Coturnix japonica: one gene and its partners. The protein of the gene in region 4 binds, or shares a complex with, the protein of the main gene of each other region. Links are inferred from orthologs where the notes say so. Each region holds a gene or a part of one and is shown on either strand. Other genes may lie near its edges.

Region 1 (5,696 bases), on a different chromosome or scaffold from region 4:
GCTATACCTACTGGTACTTTAACAAGTTTATTTTTACAGATAAGGGTTAGGAACATCTATTTTCCTAAAAAAAAAAGAAAAAAGAAAAAACTTGGAGGAAGAAAGGAGAAGAAAGAGCAAGTGGTTGGTCTTATGCACAGCTCTTCAACCCCTCCTCCCCAGGGCTGTCCCTGCAGGGCAGTAATCGTATGTTTTTCCATCCATGCGTTTGCATGTCCACTGTTTCCTTAACCACACTCAAGTTCCTCCTACTGACTCACCCGGACCGGACACTTGTACAGGATACATCTCCTTAAAAGAATGCTTCCATGGGACGTGGGTGAAGTGAAGCAGAAAGAGAAACGCTCCCTGTTGATGGCTGGGGGTGGCGAGGCGTCAGTGGAAGAAAATATTACTCATAAGTGAGCCTGGCAGCTGCCCAGGCTGAACTACTGAAGGTGCACCAGTATTCTGCTAGGCAAGAAGCGAGCCTCCCTCGTCTAAAAATACAGCATGAAAGCAGGAAGCAGGCATGTTTGTACAATAAAGGTATTTCTGCTCCACAGAGCAAATAAAGCCTTTTACAAGGTATTTAACATCTGCATTTTTTTTTCCAAACTTTCTTGAAGTGACGGAGACTGTTTTCTCAGCGTGGCGAGAAACAGGACCTGGAGGCATTGGCAACCTCTCTGCAAACTGGAGGAGGGAATGAAAGAAAATAGCTCGTGTTTTTTTCCTAGAACAGTTTAATAACAGAAAATCTCCTGGAAGCAAACCAGACGGGATTATTTTGCTAACCCGACCGCGTTACGTTCTACAGCTACAAAACACACTTTGGTAGAATTGGATACGCAAGCCTCGAAGTTAAAATGTGAGAGCTATTTCATATCACAGGGCAAAAGAATGTCTTGGAAATACTTGCAAGGTGGGAAGCTCATGCCCAACATTAACAAGAGGGGAAGATAAACCTGCAGCAGGCATCACCGACAGTGGCATAAATGATGTAAGTCACGGTGTGCCCACTCAGTGTTCTCATCTCTGTGCATGGGAACCCCGAAGCAGAAGAAATGCTGGAGGAGGAGGGGTGCCAGGCACCACTAAGGCCAGCAGCCTGCCCAAGGAGTGGGACAACAGCGCCGCTGGGACTCAAGGATGAGCTGTGCCCAAAGCCAGGAAGGGAGCTGAGCTTGTGGCCCCTCTCTGCTCCTGGGTCTCACCCACAGCTCCTCCAAAAGTGCAGAATACACCAAGTTTCTGCAGTGGTGAAGCCAAAAGGGAGAGGTTCCTCAAGCTATTTGCTCATGGAAAACAACATAAAATCCCAACACAAAGGCACCAGAAAAGCTACAGCCATCAAGACCTAAGAGGAAAGCTGAACGCGTACAAGTTGTTGGTCTCACGCTCTGTCCTGGATTAAAGAAATAATATTTATGCAAGGACCACCCTTGAGCTGAGCAGCTCCTAAGGAGTGGCAGTAATGACTGTACTGAGGCTGGCACAAATATTTGTGTTAACCATATGGTTTTTGAGAGCCCCACTGCTCCCACAGATCCAGATGGCCAACACCACGTCTTGCCTGCACCCCAGTAACCTCAGAGCCACACTGATTTGGCTTCAAGCCATGTAGCGAGCCAAACTAGAGAGATGATAGAAACAGAATAGGGAACTGCATGATGGGATAGTCCAGCAAACTCACTGTTAGCAAAGTACTTTTTAGTACTTTTAGGGTTTAGAGGGAAACAGGAACACTCAGATATACCGTAGTACACACCCACCCAAGAAGTATGACATACTTCAGAGAGCAGCGCAATGCTTCTGCTGCAACAACACTTGAAGATTTAAGAATAAAGAATGAAAAAGCCGAGATGAGAGATAGCAACAGCTTGGTCAGAGCTCCAGGAGTCTCCCCACCTGCTTTCTGACCTATCTGCCTCCGTTGCTCATTGACCTGTGACCACACACAACCCCAACACTGTAGTGTCTCAAAGAGCAATGTGCGGTCCTTGATTTTGGAGAAATGCTTTAAGAATGGGTCCCACATCACCGATACAAAGTAAGAGAGCACACCCCTAGGGCTGTGCTGCTAAGGAGATACCAATGCTTAAGCAAAACACAGCACTATCACTGAAAAACAGTGCCGTAGTCACTGGGTACATAAGTCAAAAGCCTGTCTCCCTCATTTAACAACTCTGTAGACAATGGCTGAGAAGCAGCACTGTTTTCAATTATTTTTTCCATTTAAAGCAATGGCAGTGCAGAAGTCGGAAGGATATTTACTGGCATTTGATATTTGCGCTCTCTGCTTTTCCATTTCCAACCTGCATAGAGGCAGCAGGAAGCTGGAACTGACCACAGGAAGTCTCCTTTTCTTCCAGTGTCAGAAAGCGTGCACAGTTCATTGCCCATCAATTCCTGGCCAGTAGGCAGTGGATCTGCTCACAGCTCCTCTAAAAGAACCTCTCACTCTGCTCCCAACCGCTGCTGGAAGAGCAGCTGGGGCTCAGCCATTCCTTCAGCCCTATGGACAGCACACAGTGAGCCAAAAGCAGCAGCTGGGCTCAAGCTGGACATCCACTGCCCACAAGCGCAACTCAAGAGCCCATTTTAAGTGAACTCACACACTTTGGGAGCTTGCTCACCCCCATTAGTAGCCCGAGGTACTTCAGGGTTGTGAGGCATGTTGGAGCTACACCAGTGTTTGTCCTCTCAGAGGGTTTCCAGCCATTTTCAGCTTTACAACCTTCTGTCACGGGGAGTGCCATGCAAGGAGCTGCTCAAGGCCAGGTTGGATGGGGCCCCGGGCAGCTGAGCTGCTGGGGGGCAGCCCTGCCCCACAGCATGGGGTAGGACCGGGTGGGCTTCCAAACAGCTTCCAAACTAAAGGTAAGCAGAGGCAGTGCTGTCGCTATACCTGGATGAGGCACTTGCTGACGTCGCTGGCGCACAGTGCCTTGTTGCAGCCCAGTGAGGAGCGGGCCCACAGCAGCAGCAGCAGCAGCAGCAGGGATGCGCGCAGTGCCGCACACGGAGACTTCATCGTTCCAGCGGTTTGCAGACGGAGCTCGACCAGCACTGAGGCAATTTTTGACCACCAGAAAGAACAAAAAGAGAAACAAAAAGAAGTCAAACATTAAAGAGGCACCACAACAAACCCACCCGCTGCTTCTCTACCGGCAAACCGCTCCGACTGAAGCTTTCTGCTGCTGCACTACGTTAGAACTGCACTGAGCTTCAGGTGAACGAGGTCAGGTTTGTAACATCAGCTCTGACGGCTTATGAGCGGCGACAAATAAAACGCAGCAGCGAAGCCCTAACCTGGAAGGCACGGCGCAGCCCCGTCCACCGCTCTCTCGTGCCCCATCAGCCCGGCACGCAGCGCCCGTTGTTGCACGGCTCGCGGCGAGCCCGCATTGTTCTCACAGGAGGGAAAGCCAGACGGGACGGGGCGGCCGCCGCGCAGCGCCCGGAGCCGCGGCCCCACACCCCGCCGCCGCCGGCGCCCCCCGGCCTCAGGTGCAGCCCTTGGCCCCACAGGGCAGCACGCGGCGGCCGCCCGGCCCCGGCCCCGCTGTCAGGAGCGCCCCGGCAGCGCCGCCCGGCTCCGGGGCACCCGCGGGGCCCTGCGCCGCCCCTCCCGGCCTCCTCCGGCGGGCAGCGGGACGCTCCTCACAAAGCCGCCGCCTCCCCGCCGGGCTCCATCCTCCGGCATCGCGCCTCCGCCCCTCGCCCCCCTCACCGGCCGGGCGGCGGCTGCCCCCGCTTCGCCGGCGGCTCCGGCTGCTCCGCGGACGGCTCCGGCCACCGCGCGCCTCAGCTCGGCCGCGGGCAGCGCAGGCGGCGGTAGCGCGGGCTCGCAGCGCGCACACGGCGCAGGGCCCCGCCTCGGGCCGCCGCCGGGACCGCCCCTCGATCCGCCACCGCCGCTCAGGGGAGGACGAGCGAGGCCACGGCGGGAGGGTGGGGTGTGAGGGCTCTTGAGCGGTATCCTCGTGCTAGGAAGATGCAGGAGGAGCCCTCGATTGGCGGTACCCTAGAAGGGACCTCACAGCCCACCCAGTGCCACCCCGTGCCATGGGCAGGGCTGCCCCCCAGCAGCTCAGCTGCCCAGGGCCCCATCCAACCTGGCCTTGAGCACCTCCGGGGATGGGGCACCACAGCTTCTGTGGGCAGCTGTGCCAGCACCTCACTGCCCTTTGAGTGAAGAGTTTCCTCCTGAAATCTAATCTAAACCTTCCCTTCTGCTATTGCTATCGGAGTGTGTGAAAAGTCAGACCTCTTCCTTTTATAAGCTCTCTTTAAGTACTGGAAGGCCACATCCCCTCCCTGTCCCTGCTGGCCACCCCTCTTCTGATGCAGCCCAAGATACTGTTGGCCATCTGGACTGCAGGAACAGTGCTGGTTCACATCCAGCTTTTCATCTCCCAGGACCCCCAGATACTTCCCTGCAGGGCTGCTTTCACTGAGCTCTTCTCCCAGTGTGTATACATAGCTGTGACTGCACCTACCCAAGTGCAACAAGACCAAAGTGATGAGTTTCATCTCTGAAAGAAAACCCAGGAGGAACTCAGCAGCACCAGGCTTCCCAGGGGGGAGAAGCAATGCCATGTGGCACCCATCCCTCACACTCAACCCCAACCTGCATTGCTTGATGGAAGTAATGGGAATACACTGCAGGACAAACCTGGAAAAGCACAACTGGGACACAGCTTGGATCCAGGTTGCAGAGAGCAGGAGAGCGTGTAGTGTATGGGAACACAGTGTGGGAGCAGAGGGACGTTCAGTAATCAGCATCAACTGAAAACAACCTGTGTGAAACTGTTAACGGGAAGTTATCTCTCTTTGTTGAGGAAACACGGGTAAAGCCTGACAAATAACCAGATCCAGACTTCCTCATAGGGTATACTGTCAAAATAATTTTAATTAACAAAAAGCTGTGTAATCCTTTTGTTAGTCGTGCTGTGAACTGTCTTACTCCAGCCAACCCCAATGCTTCTATCTGCATTTCCCTTACTCTGTGGTTGGTTCTGCAGCACCAGTAATGCGGTCTTGCATAAAAGCAAGAGCTTCCCCCTTCCTCGAGTACCCAGCAAATTTAAAGTGGGGGCAAAAAACAGCTACAGGACAGGAGCTACCTGTGAATTTGTGCTTACTCCAGTATTACTGTGCTCGTGTTACTATCACTTTATTCTCGATTGCAGCCCGCGGTGACGTGCAGCTGGAAGGAGCCTGTTGTCCACAGCCTGTAGCTCACACAGTAGCTCAGCATCACAATGAAGGAGTCCTGGGCGATCACATAAGCACAGGGAGCAGCAGTTCACCTGGTGTTTAAAAATCAGTTCAAAGCAAGTACTTTAATCTCTTTTGCAGGCAGCCACCCCTCTTGCATAAGCCCCATTTCTTTCCAAAGTAATATCACAGCCATCAGATCCCAAGCACTCTTGAATAATGGATGGCCTAGGCTGTAACAAATCTTTTTCATGAATATCTATAACCTTGTGCCAATAAATAATTAACAGCTCATTAACAACACCGGGGGGGATACAGAAATGTTAGGACAAAAGCTTTCCATTTTTTTAGTTCTTAATTGATTCTCTCTACTAATTTCCCATCACTGGAGTGGGGAGATTTCTTGACAGCGCCAAATGTTACAACATGAACAAATTGCAGCCAGGAACATGACCAATAAAATTTATTAAACATTGTATTTACAACTATTT
Region 2 (5,555 bases), on a different chromosome or scaffold from region 4:
CAACAAATGGACTAGAAAATGATATCTGAACGTAGAAGCCAGGCTGCATCCTCCATCATCCTTATCACTGATTCTATATCCAAGGAATTCTCTCTTAGCATGAAATGCACTAAGATGTGCATCAAATCTTTTGTGAGCAGAATGTTAATTCTTTGTAGCAGCAAAGTCTTGCATGATTTTGGGCCACAGAACTCGGACTCTACCCACTGATTTCCAGTATAGTCTGGCATCAGGCTCTTACAAAGGAAGTGTAAATGCACATGAACAGCTCCTCCCCCCGCCCCCCAACTTGAGAAAAAGTCGTTAATAATTAACACTGTTAAGACGAGGCTGCAAGAAAAGCAAGTTTAGGAGATTTCAACAGCTGCAACAGTGAAAAGGAAGGAGCTTCCACAAAGCAGGTCTGAATTCACACAACCTGTGCACAATCATGAGCTAGAATTCACTTGACTGCTTTAATAACTATATTGATCATACTTACCAATTCATTCTGAAACAGTACAGCAGAGTGAAATGCATGGAACTCAAAAGAAACAGAAGGATGACTATAAGAAATCCACTAGGAAAATGGCAAAGACTAGAGCTGCTGCTTTATAGATATGAAAGAGAATGATCGCACTGCCTACAGCATCTGTGTAGAGTTGACAACAGCGTCACAACCAGAAACTCATGCATCTCATCTCTGATGTAGCACAAATGAAGAACTCGAGCCTCATGTTACACTAAAAACACTGATACAAAATACTCCAGTTGTCAACTGACTACAGTAAACTTCAGTGTCCTCTCACTGCTGCGATTCCCATGCAGTTCTGGAGTGCTCCATCTCACACAGTGGTCAGACCAGCAAGAGGCTGCAGCTTACTCTCTCAGCAAGGACACAGCCTCATAGGAAAACAAAGGGAACCTAACATTCACCCTCCCTAGAGGAAAATGAAATCCTTGATATTAAAGAGCAGGAGAAAAATTGCTTTGTTTTGTTGAGGGAAGCACAAAACATACGCCTAGAGCACAAAGTACTCGGTGTGTTTTTGGACCGAATCCCTCACACAAGAGCTATACTGAGTTAAAAGAATAACTCGGGGGGGGGGTAGATAAAATGACTATTTCTGAGAAAAATCAACTGCTCTACAGACTTCACTGCGACTTTTAAGTGACGACAGGAAAGAGAGACAGAAATTCCTTGCTTTCCCTTTAAAGCACCGAATGTTTCAGAAAGCACAGAGACTCCATGACATCACCATGACTAGGAATAATCAGCGAGGGTTTGGTAGAGCAACTGCAAAAGATTTTTGCAGCTCTCGTTCAGGGAAGAAAAGGCACTAAATCATCAGCTGCTACAGGCAAGGCAGCCGTCAAAAATCAAGTACACACACTGCCCCCCACCCCCACACACATTTGAGGAACATTAACGTGTCTAAGCACTCCATCAGTACCTACATATAACAGCTCTGAAGTGACTTACGTGATTTATTTACAGAAAATATTAAGGTATGTGAAGCAAAACCCAGGCACTGAAGACGTTCTCTGTCCCCCCCCCCCCCCCCCCCCCCCCTCAAACGAGGAACCAAAAACCTCACACAGACAGAAAGATCCGATGCCTGACAAAAGCAAGGGAGGAACACTTGCATCTGTAGAACATGCCATCTTGTCTGTTTACCCATCTATGCTTAGCAGAGCTTCAGAAGCTCCATGTGTCAGACATTTAGCTGCACTACAAGGAGATACCATCCTCACTACGGAAGTTGCCATCCACAAGTATCATTTGGTAGTCACATTATGTCCCATTTGCTTCTTGGAGAACAAATACAACCCTGTTGTCATTCCTACCTTTAAACCAAGGCAGAAAATAAATACAACCCTAAGCCACCCACCTACTGCTTGCTTTTCAGGACTCCAGGAAGTAGACAAAGCTATTTATTGTTTCTTCAGCGTGCTTTTTTCTTTGCAGCCCAATGCTTTGTGACAACTCAGATCACAGTAACTTTCATCTATGGGAAGCACATGTCCTTTCTAAAGGAAGTTAGCTGAACCCCCTTGCTTTGGGCAGGGGCTGGACCCAGTGACATCCAGAGGTCCCTTCCAAACCATATCTTTCTCATTTTAAAGAGAAGGATTCCAGTCAGCCCACATGAATTCACTGTCTCCAAACAGAGAGACCAAAGGCATATACAGAGAACTGGCAACTGAAGATTGCAACTATGCATTAATATCTCTGACAGAGCTCCACACTCAGAGCCTGCAGGGCATGCATGTGTCCATACAGAAATACAAACCACACAGACCCTAACACAACAAACCGCAAGTGTTGAAAGATCTATACGAAAGTAACCAAAGTAAAGACACAAAGGATACACACTGTCAACAAGTATTCAAGTAATATTTTCAGGCTGCTACCAATGCCACAACGTGGGGGTCTTACTAACTATAGGCTGGAAGAGCAGGTCTGAATATCAACCGGTCTCATGCAGCTCCTTACTCCAACATAAGGTTCTACTGAGAACCAAGGAACAGTTTGAGCCCAGGCCATCATAGAAGGAGCTGCTCCACTCGCACAGAGGGCAGGCACCAAGCAGCTGACAGGGTATGGAACCCAGCAAATCGTTACCCGTCCTCAAGGAACGCAAAACACAACAAAACACAGCTCACAAACACAACCACTCCGCACCTGGAAGCGTCCCCATTGTACGGCCTTCATCACAACAGGCCACACGACCGCGCTACAGCCTCCCACCGCTCCTTGATGCCGAATTCACTCTTAGTCGTACAGAAGATGAAAGGCTGATGAAAGGCCATTCAAGTTTTTCAGCCTCTTCGGGACATCTCGTCACCAGGTTTAACCGGAACCGGACGGCGGACGCTCACGGTGCCGCGGGATGCCCAGGCGGCTCCTCACCGCCCAGCAGCGGCGGGTCACGGCTCGGCATTAGTGCCGTCCCCCCGCTCCCCGCGGCCTCCCGGAGCCGCTCGCAGGCCCCGCTCAGCCGCCGGCTCGGCACCGCGCCTGGAATTACAACACCGCGGGCGCAGACGCAGGGGGAGGGCGAAGGCGGCCAGACAGAGCGGCGTGCGCCGGGCCTGCCCGGCCCCGCAGGCGGCCCCGTGCCCACGCAGGAAGCCGCCGGCCCCGGGAGCCGCCGCGCTTCGCCCGCCGACGGTCTCCGAGCATCGGCCCGACCCGCGGAGGGCGCTCGGCGGGGAGAGCGGCCGGGCCGGAGAGCTCGGAGCAGAAGGGCCGAGCCCGCAGCCGACGGGGAGAGCGGGCCGGGGGCGGGACGAGGGCCCGGTGCTCGGAGCCCCGCGGGCCGAGAAGGGGTGGAACGCAGGAGCGGGGCGCGGCGCTCCACACCGCCCGGCACGACCCCGCACTCACCGCTCCTGGAGGCTCCTCATCCTCTGCGGCGGGACGGAAGGCGAAGCAACACGGAGCCGCTCCCGCTGCGTTACGCAGGCCGCGCCCGGAACCCCGACGGCTCCTGTAAGACGGGAGCGAAGGCGGCCGAGAGCCGGGAGGGGGAGGGCGGGGCGGGGCGGGGCGGGGCGGGGCGGCGCAGGCTCGCTCCCCGGCAGCGCTCCCGACGCCCGGCGCGTCCCTGCGGAGCTGGAGGGCGGGCGGGGCGGGACGGAGCCGGATTCCAATCACGGCACCCGTGGAGCCCGGCCGCGCGCACGGAGGAAGGAGGGGGAGAATGGGGACGAGCGCGAAGCAGCAGCAGCTCCATCGGCTGCCGGGGAGAGGCGTGAGACCGCTCCTAGGAGCGCTGCCGCTTCTATTGACACGTGCGCTGGGCGGGAGGGCTGCCGGGGCACACCGAGAAAAAGCCGGCCGCTCTTCCTCCCCAGGAGCTCTTCTCCTGGGTGGAGATGCCGCATGGGGCTCCGTGCACCGCCGGCCGAAGGGCCGTCGAGCAGAGCTTTGCCGGTGCAAAGGCGCGGCAGCTCCTGTAGGAGGAGACAGAGAGGTGCGAGGGGCAGCGCGGCCGGGTGCGCTGCGGAGGTGGGGATATCGCAGCTCCTTTGTTTGGGGGGCATAGGGTAACGATGGGAGCTGCCCGTGGATCACTGCTCACGCTGATCCTTGGAAAGCTTGGCATCCCAGTGCCGTAGGAGAGATAAGAGTGGCATTATGGTGAACGGAGTTGTTCGTTTTGCTTTTTTCCATTTCCTGTTTCTTTAAATAAACGAAGCTGGCTGGTTAGATTGGAATACATCATACCTTCTGCACTGAGCTTCTCTGCTTGCTGATAAGGCTGCTGAAGGCTATGATTTGCATTGCATTTCTGAGCTCGTCGTCATTAGGACACATTACCCAAGTACCAATTTGTCTGTCTGTCTCCCAACAGTGGTGCAGAAGGAGCTTCATAACACTGTGCCATGGGATGAGCAGCTTGCATGGGCTGAACCTTGCACTCAACAGACTCTCATGTTGACATGGTCCCATTACACAGTTCTGTGCCAAGAATTTTGTACACGGGGCCAACTATAGGGGGAAACAAAGACCACACTAACCTGCTCGCTTTCCCTCTGCTATTGACCAAGACACCCTTTAGGCCATTTGCCTGCCCAGATAAGCTGTTTTTGGATAGTAACCAATTGGGAAGGAATCTCACTTAGCCACATGTGTGTATGATGTGGGAAACCCTGCTTTGCTCGTTGTGCTGACCTCTACACAGTCCAGCTCCATTTTTGTCTGCTAGTGTCATATAGAGTTTATGTTGTCCCATTTGTGTGTAAGATGAGCACATTGGCTTTGTAATATAGTTCACATGTGTTGTACACGTGGATTGTTAGGCAACTGCTTAGCTTGCATTCTATCCCGTATAGTAAAACAAAAGAGGAAGTACATTCAAACCTATCTGCTTTGCAGACTCTTTTAAAACACAAGCAATTAAAGGCACACCTAGTAAGTGTAGGTGGCCAGATACTAGAGAAAGGCATTAAAAATGCAATTCTTGCATTACTAGACTTGTAGAAAATTTTTTCCGATGAGCCAGAAAAAAAAATGTCAGTGTCCAAAACAAAGACAGCCAAGAAAGACAAAATCACAGCGCTCGTGCCAAGCAATACAGAACTTGTATGCTTATGTTTATCATTTCAAAGGAAAATATGAGTCTGCTGTTCCTCCACTCTGCCTATTATCAGATTATAGCAGCAGAATAGACGCTCAATATGGAAGAAGAATGCAACATGCATGTGTGTGCTCCCAAGCAGAACCAAAGCTGTTGGAGCTAGCATCTCTTTCAGTAATAATCTGTGTGGTAATACAGCCCTGCATTTTTTCAGATGTCGGATAGCCATTTAAATCCATTATTGACTGAATTCAGCCAAAGCCACTAGCCTTGAAAATTGCTTTTGAGCCCGCTTATGAAACAGATCAACTGTTTTCATCTGATTGCTCATAAGTAATTCTACATCTCACAAAAACTACTCTCTCAGCTGGTACTTTTTAAAGCACTCGGGCACTGAAGGTGTCTAAGGCGATAGTCCGTGTCACATCAGAAATTGTATGGCTGAAGATTTGGGTTGCTTTACCCTGCCAATATACCCATTCGTAGCAT
Region 3 (4,426 bases), on a different chromosome or scaffold from region 4:
TATTGTATGGATTCTTCTGTACCACTTGTTCTTTCGATGCCTCAAGTTCCTCTATGGAGGTTATTCTGGTCTAAGAATTTCCCAATAACTTTAAAGAAGGATTTTCATCATTATACTCTTCAGGGTGGGCACAGCACCGGGGCCTCTGTAACCTGCTAAAGTTCTTCTAAGCATCTCCCCCAGTCACTGCAAAAGGAATTGTGCCAGTGGGGTTCTGAAAAGGTAGTTCCTACTGTTGGGTTACCCACACACAGCATCCTCAATATACTGGCCTGGTTTGCAGCTGCTGGCCACAGACTTCACTATGCATCTTTAGCAGAGGGGAAACAAGCATCTCAAGATAATACAGCAGTGGTCCTCAGCACGTTCCTACACAACAAGCAATGGCTAGGAAACAAATTGGGGCCTCAATTACAGACTGCTCACCCTGTGGATAACTCATATCCCCAGTTTCCCTGCACCCCACCAGGGGTCACTAACACCACACTACAGACGCTCCTCACCAAGGTAGGTTAACTTTATTCTTCTATCATAATAATTTAAAGTATTTACACACTGCACAGCCACTCTTTTACACTAACATATACTTACTGGTATATTCATGAACCACATCTAAACGTTTTTGAAAAGACTGACACATTTTAGGGTTTCCAAGCATGAAAATAAAATCTGCAGCCTTCTAAAAGACAGCCATTTGGAGCGTGTGTGAAAAAACCACTGTTCCCTCTAAGCTTAAGTTTTCTCCAGAGACCATTCACTAGCTTCAAAATATCCACATTTGGCATTAGCTAAAGCTCTCTTGGCAATGGCAGACTTCAAGAATGAACATGTGCAAATAACATTTTCTCAAGAAATCCCACAGCAGGAACAAGAAAACGGAAAACTCTTCAGGGGAAGTACTACATTTCTGAAATGTTATTTATCTGAAAGGATCACAATTTAATGCACGTATACATATCTGTTGTATATGTATATACACGCTGGATCCAGGGGCAGTGGAAATTAAACGGAATGCAGAGTCTGCCCAAGTATTTTGTGCATCACTGCAGCAATGCCAGGCTTGTCCATCAATTTTCAGCCACGCGCCCTTTAAATTCAGAGCAGAGATAAGGATGCTCTGCCACACAGAACAGGGAGAACCCTGTCACCATCAGGAGAAACTTGGGAAAAATCACATAATCAGACACAGCACAAATCCCTAAATCTAAGTCACCTCAAACAGCACCATCATCTAGTTTGACTGACAGAACAAGCTGCCGGTCAGTCTAGATCAGAAGAATTTTTTATTTAAACCTTCTGCCTTAACTCAGTTCTATGTTCATCTCAAGAATTTCCTTGAGAACAACACCTGCCTGTGGTTACACATCCAATACGGAATTGGTAAGTTTCCTTCTGAAGATTACTGCTGCTCCTATGAGCAAACAGTCTCTAACCCGGACAGAACAAACTTCATAAAAACTCCAAGTTCTTGTTCCTTGAATAAACTACATCTCAATCCACTAAGGCAAACAACAGTACAAGTTCTTTAAGAAAGGCAAACACTAATTGATCTTGTTCAAAGAGCAAGTTTAACTAGCCTCAGATGAACAGCTTCAGGAGTGAAACAAGCCTGTCCTGGAGTTGGAGTACTGCAGCACACAATAAGGCTTCCGTTTCTTGGAGCAGACTGAGGCATCACATAATACCAGCCTTTAAGCCACAGAATCATTGTTCCTATAGCTCCTCAGTAACCGCAGTCAGAACTGGGGCCCTCACTCCTCTCCCTTATTTTAACGTGTTGATGTAATTAACACCTACGAAAGGAGACAGAATTCAGGCATGTGACTTCTCCATGACCATCTCCCATAATGAGTTAACCTTTCAGAGCAGAATCAGCTGTGGTAGTAACTTTGAAAAGGAAATCTTACACCCTAACACAAAGACCATTAGAATCTTTCAGCATAGTCTCTCCCACGGCTCTAAAAAGCTACCAGGAAATTACATACATAATTACAGGACAAGAGAAGTGCTGTCTCTACAGTAAGCGTAGAAAATATCCCCATTAATTAATACAGTAAAAAAATTTGTTTAACTAAGCAGTACCTAGGCAGAGTACTGTAGGTACATGTTTATATGTATAATACACAGTTACTCAGCTACACACAAATATTTAATATATAAAAAATAAAGTGCTTTCTATCAGGTCCCAATGCAAGGACATTATAAAACATTTCACTGACTGTAAAACAAACAGATACAAAGAATACGACATCCAACATACATAGAACAGTTAACACAATATGTACAATCTGGTGGACGTCCCAAGACAAAACATCCCTTCATATACATGGTATATACATATATACTCATCTTTACTCAATATATTATGACAATATATATTTCAAAACTTTGTTAGAGACAAAAACAAAACAAAAACCCTAAAAAAATGCAACAAGGATCAAGCACGCAAGTCCAACACTGACAAAGGATTTGCTACCTTTGCCAACACCACCATCTCCACTGCTGGGAAAGATATGCCAGCGCTCTTTTCTGGGGTGCAGTGCCTCCACATCCTGCAAGGCACTGTGAGCGGCAGCCGTGAAGTTAGCATCGCCAGTGGTGAGGAGGTCAAACACACATGAGTAAAAATAGATGTCCTTCACCAGCATCTTCTCATGGCATTTGGCGGTGGCAGTTTCCAGTGTGTATGCTGACCACGGACGAGCAGCGCCTGCCTGAGGGAGAACCTGTCCTCTCACAGGCAATGGCAAGTGGCCACTGTCATCAATGCGCTCACTTGAAGGGCAGCCGTTCACACACAGCTGCAGATCTTGACTCTCCTCATAGGCCATGGCCAATTCTTGAGGCATGCGAATGGCCAGTGTTAAGTAGTGCCCGAGCTGACGTATATACACTGTTGTCCCGATGTATCTGGCATGCATTTCGACGTATTTGCCGCTGACTTTATCCACAATCTGCAAGCTCTTGGTGTTCCCATCACCTCCACCTGTTGTACCATCAACAAAAGCTGCAGGCAAGTCATCAGACACTGCTTGATATACTTTCTGATCTGTGCAGTGTTGGTATGATTTAAAGATAATAGTTATCTGGAAAAGAGAGAAAAAGAATAAAGAAAAGTTAGTGATTATAGGGGTAAAAAAAAAGAAAAAAGAAAAAAAAAAAAAAAAAGGAGTAATTGGAATCCCTTTTTCATTTTGCACCCAAGATTATTTGGTACTGACTACCCTCTAGTTCATACCCTGATCTTTTTCCTCATTCATACCCAAGCAGAAAACAGCCTGTTCACATGCTTAAAGCAATATTTTCCCAGGTGGCAATTGTTAAATTTGTTCTTAACTTGGCCTGGAAGCAGGACTATTAGCATGTGGCAACTGCAACAAGGTCAGGAAAGGAAAAAGCTGTGTATTTAATTAAGCATCACAACTGCCTCCTGCCTGATGGTTTCTTAACACTTTGGAATGCATCCTGCAGTCACAGATGAGCATGCCAAGTAATTCCCGCACTGCTAGCCACTACAGCAGAACTGGACTGAACTGTGTGAAAGCACAGAAACGACCACAAGGACTAGGCTTCCTTCACACACAATATTCTCATTGCCTCTTTCACAGTGACTGCATGACCCCAAACAGAGTCCTCATTGCTTCCTGGCTGCACTGCCAGGATTAGTGGTGTAAGACTGCCATGAAGGCAGTGATGTGTTTGTGCCAGCCACCAATACAACAAGCGCTGAGGGGAGATACATGACTTGGGAAAAGAACGAGTCCTGGATCCAGGAGCATGTGGATGTGACACTTCAGTCTGCTGCTGTTAGGGAACATGCTGGTGGAGGACCAAAGCAAAACTAAGAGATACTTTGATTACTTTCATCCCGGACAAGACTGAGAGTACTCCAAGATATACTAGAAGATATTTGCAAACTAGTAAAAAGTAGTAGAAAAGTGTAACTTTTCTTAAAAACTACTTTATAACAAGCTCATGTTTTGATTTCACTTGGCCTGCTTACTTCTATACAACAGGTTTTGTTTCCTGCCATAAACAGCTCTATTACAGATAGCTTGACTAAACCTCTAACCTCCTTAGCCTTACCCCTCCATAACAGTTGTAAAAGACAGAAGTCTGCCCTCCTCCTATTGTAATTACTTCTTGGAGCATGCAGCATCCCCTGAGCTGCACTCTCTTTACATTTGACATGTCCCTGTGAGTAGACACTCCCAATCTTTCTGTCCATCTCCCACCCACACAGGCAGCAATCACTGTTTTGACTCAATATGTATTCACTGGTGCAGTCTGAAACTTTCCATCAGTTTTTCACTTATACAGCTAGTTTGACTCAAGCCATATGGTAAACTAATAAGCATGCCACAGCAAAGCTAAGCTTGAATGCCTGCAACCAAGGTCCAAAAAATGCCCAAGAGCTCCTCTTGCT
Region 4 (5,796 bases):
CACCAAGAAGAGAGCCTTTTCGTTGACCTGTCTTCCCGTTCTGTTAAATCCCACAGTCCTGAGATCAACCGCTCTCCCCCTGTCAAAAGTCTCCAGTTCGAAACACAAGTTGACCAAGTTTTTAAAGTTCCTAAAAAGCTTCCAGATGTCAAACACTTCCCATTTTGGTGTATCTGTGATGCTGACAATACGAGAGTCCAGGAGCGTCGCTGCTTGTCTGTTGGTAGAGCAACTAAACAATTTCACTTGGGAAGTCTTTCCAGAAGAATGAGACTTCCAAGCATCAGAAGGCTTTTTCCTCAGTATCCGAAGCTCTGCTCCCAGCAGGCCGTCTTTTTCTAATGCACTGATGTCAAAAATGTATTTTTGTTTCCTTATGGTTGGCGCTCGCTCATCTAAAAAAAGCACACGCATTTTTAAATGAAGCACAGAGCAATGCTGCTTTGTCAGTTCTCTACAATGTTCCTGCAGTTTCCCCGTAAGACCAGCATTTACCTCAGTTAGCCCACTAAACAGAAAGGACAATTTTTGTCTGAGGGATGGGCTCTGAGCGGGGACCTGGAAGAATTCAGTGACTCATTGGGAAAGGAGTTCCTGAGCTTGCCCTTTAGAAATGTCAGTTCTTTCACCAGTGGGCATTTTCTAGCTTCAAAGTAGCCCTTAGCCAATTGGAAAACCGTCATTTATAAGGTCTGAGGGCTCACAGGGCCTATTCACCACTTACATACCACTTACGTTACTGAAATGGGTATTCAGTGGTGCCCAGGCCTCATGCTGGCTCCAACATTACCCTTAGACAATACAATAGTCATTAGTCCTTTAAAACCAGCATCCCCCAGGAACACAAAGATAATTGCCTCATTAACTCTGCTCCGCAGAGTTCACAACTTTTCCATACTGGGCAGAACAACAGACCTCCCTTTAACCTGACTCTGTCTTTGCCTGGTTAAACCTGCGAGCGGCACTAATGAGGAATATGCCCAAACCAACATTTTATCCATGTTTCAATAACAGCGCCTTCCAGTGGTCAGTCAAGGATCTGAACACAGCACTGCTCAGCTGCGTGCCATCCCATCCCGAAAGCCAAACTATTCTTGATTAAACAGCAAACAAACCCAGTCCTGGCTGAGTCTTCAATCACTATTATGTAATTAGCTGTGGCCTGTGTTGCTTCCTTAATTCCATGACCAAAGCTCTCATTAACGTCACCAGAAGCAACATGGAGATAAGCCTCCCACTGGGACGGCAAGGTGAACATCTTTCTTTGGTTATGTGTTGTGTGAGAGCAGACACTAGGCCAAATTTCCAATAAATTTGGAACCATAACACTGAACCGCAAATTAGGGAGTCCCAGAAGTTATTTACACTCATTAGCCCATGTTTAGCTGTGAGCTTCTGTGGTTAGAAGGCTGGTAGTGTCTGAAAGCATGAGATTCAAGCTCATACAGGTACACCAGCGCCACTCTATAATGACTCCTGGGTCTACATTGTAGTTCCTCCCAGCTCATCCTTGGACAAACTGGGGTGACCTCCAACACTGAAACGTGTGTTTTTCCGCAGAACAGCCCCTTTCTCAGCAGAGAATGTGTTTTCAGACACACTTAGCAATAAAATCAAGCAACAGTATCCAGGATCTTCCTACTGAAATAGCATAAGATCAAAACGTGAAAGTTTCTGAACAACTAAACCCTCAAGGACTAATGGATTTTCAGAAATATGCACCTGAAATATTCTAATGTTTTGCTTGGCTGCCATGCTACCATCTATTTCTGCCTCTAGAGGAATCTGCCAAGATAAGGACAAAACCTACAATTTCATTCTCATTAGAAAGAGCTTTCTGCCTTTAACAACATACAGTTATGTTCTAGTAATGCTCGTGCTCAGATGTCCCTCTGTCCACACACACGTGAGCTCCCCTCTTACCTTGTCCTTTGTCTATAAAGCTGGTTATTGTATTGGCAAGTCCAGCCTCCAGTTTTACACTTCCATTAACACCTTTTCTTTCTGCGTCTGAGAGAGTCCTGTACAAAGAGAGCATGTATTCATGTGGCGTTATAGGGGGCTGTCTGAAAGCTTCCTTAGCTTCCCTTTGGGTGACAGGCTCTTTAGTCTTTTTCGTTTTGAAAGCGCTGCTATCAGCACTGCTCGTGCTGGGTTTTTTCAAAGCCGTCTTGCTGCTAAGATTTGGGACCTTTGGAGTCACCGTCCTTACTCCAGAAGGTCTGCTCGGGAGATGTCCTACCTTTGCCTCTGAGGCAGCTGCTCTTGAAAGAACCCTCTGTGATTCGTCGTTCTTGGCCAGCAGAGCTCCAGGCTGAGCAGCATTGCTTTTAGTCCTTGCCTTCGAGGTCCCGGTGCTAAATCCATGGTTCGCAGCCCGTGGCGTGCCTGCCCGTGCTGAGGGAGTCCTCTCCTTTCCTTCTGCTTTTAACAAATCTGTTTTAGACCCCGGATTACTCTGGCCTGCTTCAGAATTGCTCAGTGCTCCAGGAACTAGATCCAGAGACAGCCAAGTCAAATGCCAAAGCAGTAAAGTGAGAAAATGCAGGATTTTCATCCTCTGGTCTTCCTCTGAATGCCGCTAAAGAAAAAATCAGGGAAGGTTCCTCCAGTTTGGCAGAAGAAAACATGAAAGAAATTAAAAACCAAAGTCAGCAAAAGTGGTTTTCGATCGAGATTAAAACATTGCAAATCTGGTTGTTCAGTGCTCGTATCCAGTCCCATAGTGGAAATGCTCCTGCTCTCAGACGCGCTCTCCCCTGACTTCAGTTCGTGGCTGTAAAGGGCTCGTTCTTGAAAAGAGAAAGTTTACCACCTCGTTTTCTTCTGTAAAACTGACTGAAAAGTTGAAGGAGTCCTGTTTAAATCGGAGGGGTTTTTTTTCCGAGAAGGAAGAATGGCGTAATGCTGCCTCTGTGTTAAAAGGGCTGTTTTTTTTTTTTTTAACGTTTTGAATCCTTTCCAGTGAAAATATTTCACACACAGAGACCTGCAGGTGCTCAGAAATCTTTTACAAACCTGAGCTCAGGAATTGGAAACGGAATTCCAACAAACCGATTTAATTACTCTCTGATGTCATGCTGTCTAAACTAATTTAACTGCGATATATTTCTTTAAAAAAAAATCTTCTTTGCCCTTTTCATGAGCATGACTCATTCCCTGCCTCATGTGAAACAGCTCCGCGGGCTCAGGGCTCCAGAGGACGCGTTTTGGAGCGGCGGCACAACCTCTCCTTTCGCCTTCCATCAACTTCACGTTTAAATGGGACAAACTGCGAGACGGACAGCCGGGACCCGTCCTGCGGCCCACGGGAACGCGCACATGAAAGCCTCGGTGCGTAACCCCGTCCTGCTCCTTATTGCTGGAGCTGCGGCTTCGCTTTGCCCTCCAGCGACTCAGCTAACGAGGCAGGCGATGAATTTGGTATAACGCAGCACCGCCGTGCCCGCAGTCATCGCATGTTGGTGTTTTTATTGCTACGCTTTGAACAAACCCGCGTAACCCAGCTGCAGGAGAAGGCTGTGCAGGCACTGCTCCCTGCAGGCGGCCCCGCTCCTGCCAGCAGCACGGCTCGGGCTGCTCTGAGCCGGGGCGCAGCCGGGACGGAGCTTTTGTGAACCCGAATGTAGGAGAGCTCCCTGCCCACAGACAGGGGAAGGATGGGAGGAGGGAACCGGAGCTGCTGACGTGGGAAGGGTATCTGCTGCTGTCAGCTGTACTCCGGGGAGCACGGAGCGAGAGTGTCTTTCATGCAGTACAAAAAAATGAGCTGTTGTTGTTCTGAATGAACCTTGGGGAAATGAGGCACTGGGCTGGAGTGAACGGGGATTAATGGGACCCTTCTCTCATCCAGCGCTGTGCTGAGCCCAGCCCTCCCCTCCCAGTCACTTATTCCTGAAGCAAGAATAAAGGGGATAGATACAACAGCCTCGATTTTAGCTTGAATTGGACGTGCTGCGGCATTTTCCACTCTGACATGAAATTACTTTCATAAATAACAACCTGCAGCCCTTTCCATATGACACGCTTAGAATGCTTTACCATATTCCAGTGGAGGAACCAAAGGGCAGAACAGCTTAGTGACCGCACAGATGTCACAAATGAGGGAGAACAAAAACCCCACCCTCTCAATTTTGGCCTAATTGCCATTTCTCTGCAGTCAGTTTGATGTTTCCCATCAAAACAAAGCAGCTTTTCCACGAGTTACTTCCAACAGGCCCCTTCCCCAACAGTTCCTTCGTGCTGTCCCCATAACCCTCAGCCATGCTGTCCCTTCCTCCCACCCTCATTATCCACCTTCCTGCAGGCAGACAGGTGTGCTGTGTTGGTTCTGCCCACAGAAACAGCCAAGTGCTGAGTTCATGCTCTTATTCTATGAGGGATGCTCTGAAAGTGATGCCTCCTACTGTATGCTGTTGGCCCATGATGACAGAGGCAGGTGTTGGAGGAATGGCAGTAGAAACTGAACCTTCCCACCCACACGCTGTTCCTTTCTGCTGTTATATGGCAGATGGCAGCAGAGGGAGAGCCTGATAGGATGGCATCTGACATGGAGTCGCACATGGAGCAAAGGGATGGAATCACATTCCTCCATGTAGAAAAGCCAGCACCCAAACACTCTGTTTGGCTCTGTCAGTGTTACTGTATGTGTTGTATCTGTTGTGGTTTGCATGGAAACCTATCTAGGAGGCGTCACTTTTGGGGTACTCCAGTTTTCACAACACCGGTAAGAGTTCTGTATCTTTAAGATCTCTCCTGTTCCATCAAACATGGTTGAGATTCACAGATACAGAAACGATTGGGCAGATGGACAGGAAAGGGCAGAAGGTGAGACAGTGTGACTCCATAGGCCTTGTCTCATGGTAAATCAGACTAACAGCACAATTGGTCAAATGCTCACCCAGTATTTACACATCTGAGATGAATGTAACTTTCCATTTTTATTGAACACCAACTGATACTGCCAGTCACAAGTAAAAGAATGAACCAAACTGGGGTGAATCAGTCTCACAACCAGGACATGGGAGCAGGAGGAGTGTGAAGCTGGAGATGCTGAGCAGCTCTGCGGGAACTTCCCTGGTGGGCCAATGGGGACAGAGCTACTGTGAGCTGCTCTGAGCAAAGCCCCAGGTCTCCTTCAGCTCTCAGGAGGCACCACCCGTTATTCCTGTCCCCTGTGTGATTTCAACCAGATTCTTCTGGCCAAACTGCTATTCCTGGAGCTTGGCCCCTGGGGCTCCCGCCTGTCACCAACACGGTGCTGCGATGTGAGCGCTGTCAGACCTCTGCGCTCCTGTGGATCTGCCCATCTGATGTTTAATCCGCCATAGCTGAATTCACCTCCCTCACATTCAGCTTCCACCGTACACGACTCAGTCTCAGCACACACAGCGCTGTACCCGGTGGCAGCCCCTGTGTCGGGCACGGCGCGCTTCCCGCCGCACACCCGCCGTCCTATCGCCGCGGGGCTCAGCGGGCGGGGCGGGGCCGAGAGCGGGGCATGGCGGCCAGGGAGGCGGCGCGGGGCCAGGCCTGGCGGCGGCACGGAGCGGGGCAGGCGCGGCAGGAGCCGGCGGTGTCGGTGCGGGAGCTACAGGAGAAGGTGAGGGGAGGGCGGGACAAGGCGCGGCACAACGCGGTGCCCGGAGCACGGAGCACAGGCCTCGGGAGCCGCCCGACCAGGCCCGTCCCGTCTGGGCGCGGCCGGAAGGGGGGAGCTGTGCGGGCAGCGCGGGGCCTGAGTGAATCGAGGGGAAATAACGGCGGTCATGGGGGCTGCGGAACTTTCTGCCCTTT

Evidence for each region.
Region 1: the proteins of GDF5 (region 4) and TWSG1 are in contact, whole or in part, in a crystal structure (PDB 8BWL), measured with the Homo sapiens proteins. The link is inferred for Coturnix japonica from reciprocal best matches to the Homo sapiens genes GDF5 and TWSG1. Residues at the interface, in NP_000548.2 of Homo sapiens: Glu434, Phe435, Pro436, Ser439, His440, Glu442, Asn445, Val448, Ile449, Leu452, Ser455; in NP_065699.1 of Homo sapiens: Cys26, Lys28, Cys31, Ala32, Ser33, Val35, Ser36, Leu39, Ile40, Cys44, Gln45, Cys46, Arg47, Cys73, Val74.
Region 2: the proteins of GDF5 (region 4) and BMPR1A are in contact, whole or in part, in a crystal structure (PDB 3QB4), measured with the Homo sapiens proteins. The link is inferred for Coturnix japonica from reciprocal best matches to the Homo sapiens genes GDF5 and BMPR1A. Residues at the interface, in NP_000548.2 of Homo sapiens: Arg399, Phe435, Pro436, Leu437, Ser439, His440, Glu442, Pro443, Asn445, Val448, Ile449, Leu452, Ser455, Met456, Pro458; in NP_001393490.1 of Homo sapiens: Gly65, His66, Cys67, Pro68, Ile77, Thr78, Phe83, Ile85, Glu87, Cys100, Met101, Lys102, Glu104, Gly105, Phe108, Gln109, Asp112, Ser113, Lys115, Ala116, Gln117, Arg120, Ile122.
Region 3: the proteins of GDF5 (region 4) and RGMB are in contact, whole or in part, in a crystal structure (PDB 6Z3J), measured with the Homo sapiens proteins. The link is inferred for Coturnix japonica from reciprocal best matches to the Homo sapiens genes GDF5 and RGMB. Residues at the interface, in NP_000548.2 of Homo sapiens: Leu396, Arg399, Phe435, Pro436, Leu437, Arg438, Ser439, Asn445, Val448, Ile449, Leu452, Ser455, Met456; in NP_001353437.1 of Homo sapiens: Gln57, Thr60, Phe63, Val64, Thr67, Ser68, Leu70, Asn71, Tyr88, Leu103, Val104, Ser107, Ala108, Leu110, Gly111, Ile112, Asp114, Leu115, Gln118.

Annotation. Positions count from the first base shown.
Region 1 is NC_029517.1:88,835,393-88,841,088, forward strand, and holds the start of TWSG1 (twisted gastrulation protein homolog 1), read right to left. Parts: upstream 3,356-5,696; 5' UTR 3,341-3,355; coding exon 3,295-3,340; intron 3,052-3,294; coding exon 2,891-3,051; intron 1-2,890. UniProt on the Homo sapiens protein: May be involved in dorsoventral axis formation. Seems to antagonize BMP signaling by forming ternary complexes with CHRD and BMPs, thereby preventing BMPs from binding to their receptors.
Region 2 is NC_029521.1:1,763,024-1,768,578, reverse strand, and holds the start of BMPR1A (bone morphogenetic protein receptor type-1A), read right to left. Parts: upstream 3,478-5,555; 5' UTR 3,371-3,477; intron 2,928-3,370; exon of another isoform or gene 2,666-2,927; intron 1-2,665. UniProt on the Homo sapiens protein: On ligand binding, forms a receptor complex consisting of two type II and two type I transmembrane serine/threonine kinases.
Region 3 is NC_029547.1:45,528,682-45,533,107, forward strand, and holds part of RGMB (RGM domain family member B), read right to left. Parts: intron 3,087-4,426; coding exon 2,418-3,086; 3' UTR 1-2,417. UniProt on the Homo sapiens protein: Member of the repulsive guidance molecule (RGM) family that contributes to the patterning of the developing nervous system. Acts as a bone morphogenetic protein (BMP) coreceptor that potentiates BMP signaling. Promotes neuronal adhesion.
Region 4 is NC_029535.1:1,102,298-1,108,093, reverse strand, and holds the start of GDF5 (growth/differentiation factor 5), read right to left. Parts: upstream 3,892-5,796; 5' UTR 2,558-3,891; coding exon 1,924-2,557; intron 396-1,923; coding exon 1-395. Other genes in the region: centrosome-associated protein CEP250, read left to right, coding at 5,501-5,602. UniProt on the Homo sapiens protein: Growth factor involved in bone and cartilage formation. During cartilage development regulates differentiation of chondrogenic tissue through two pathways.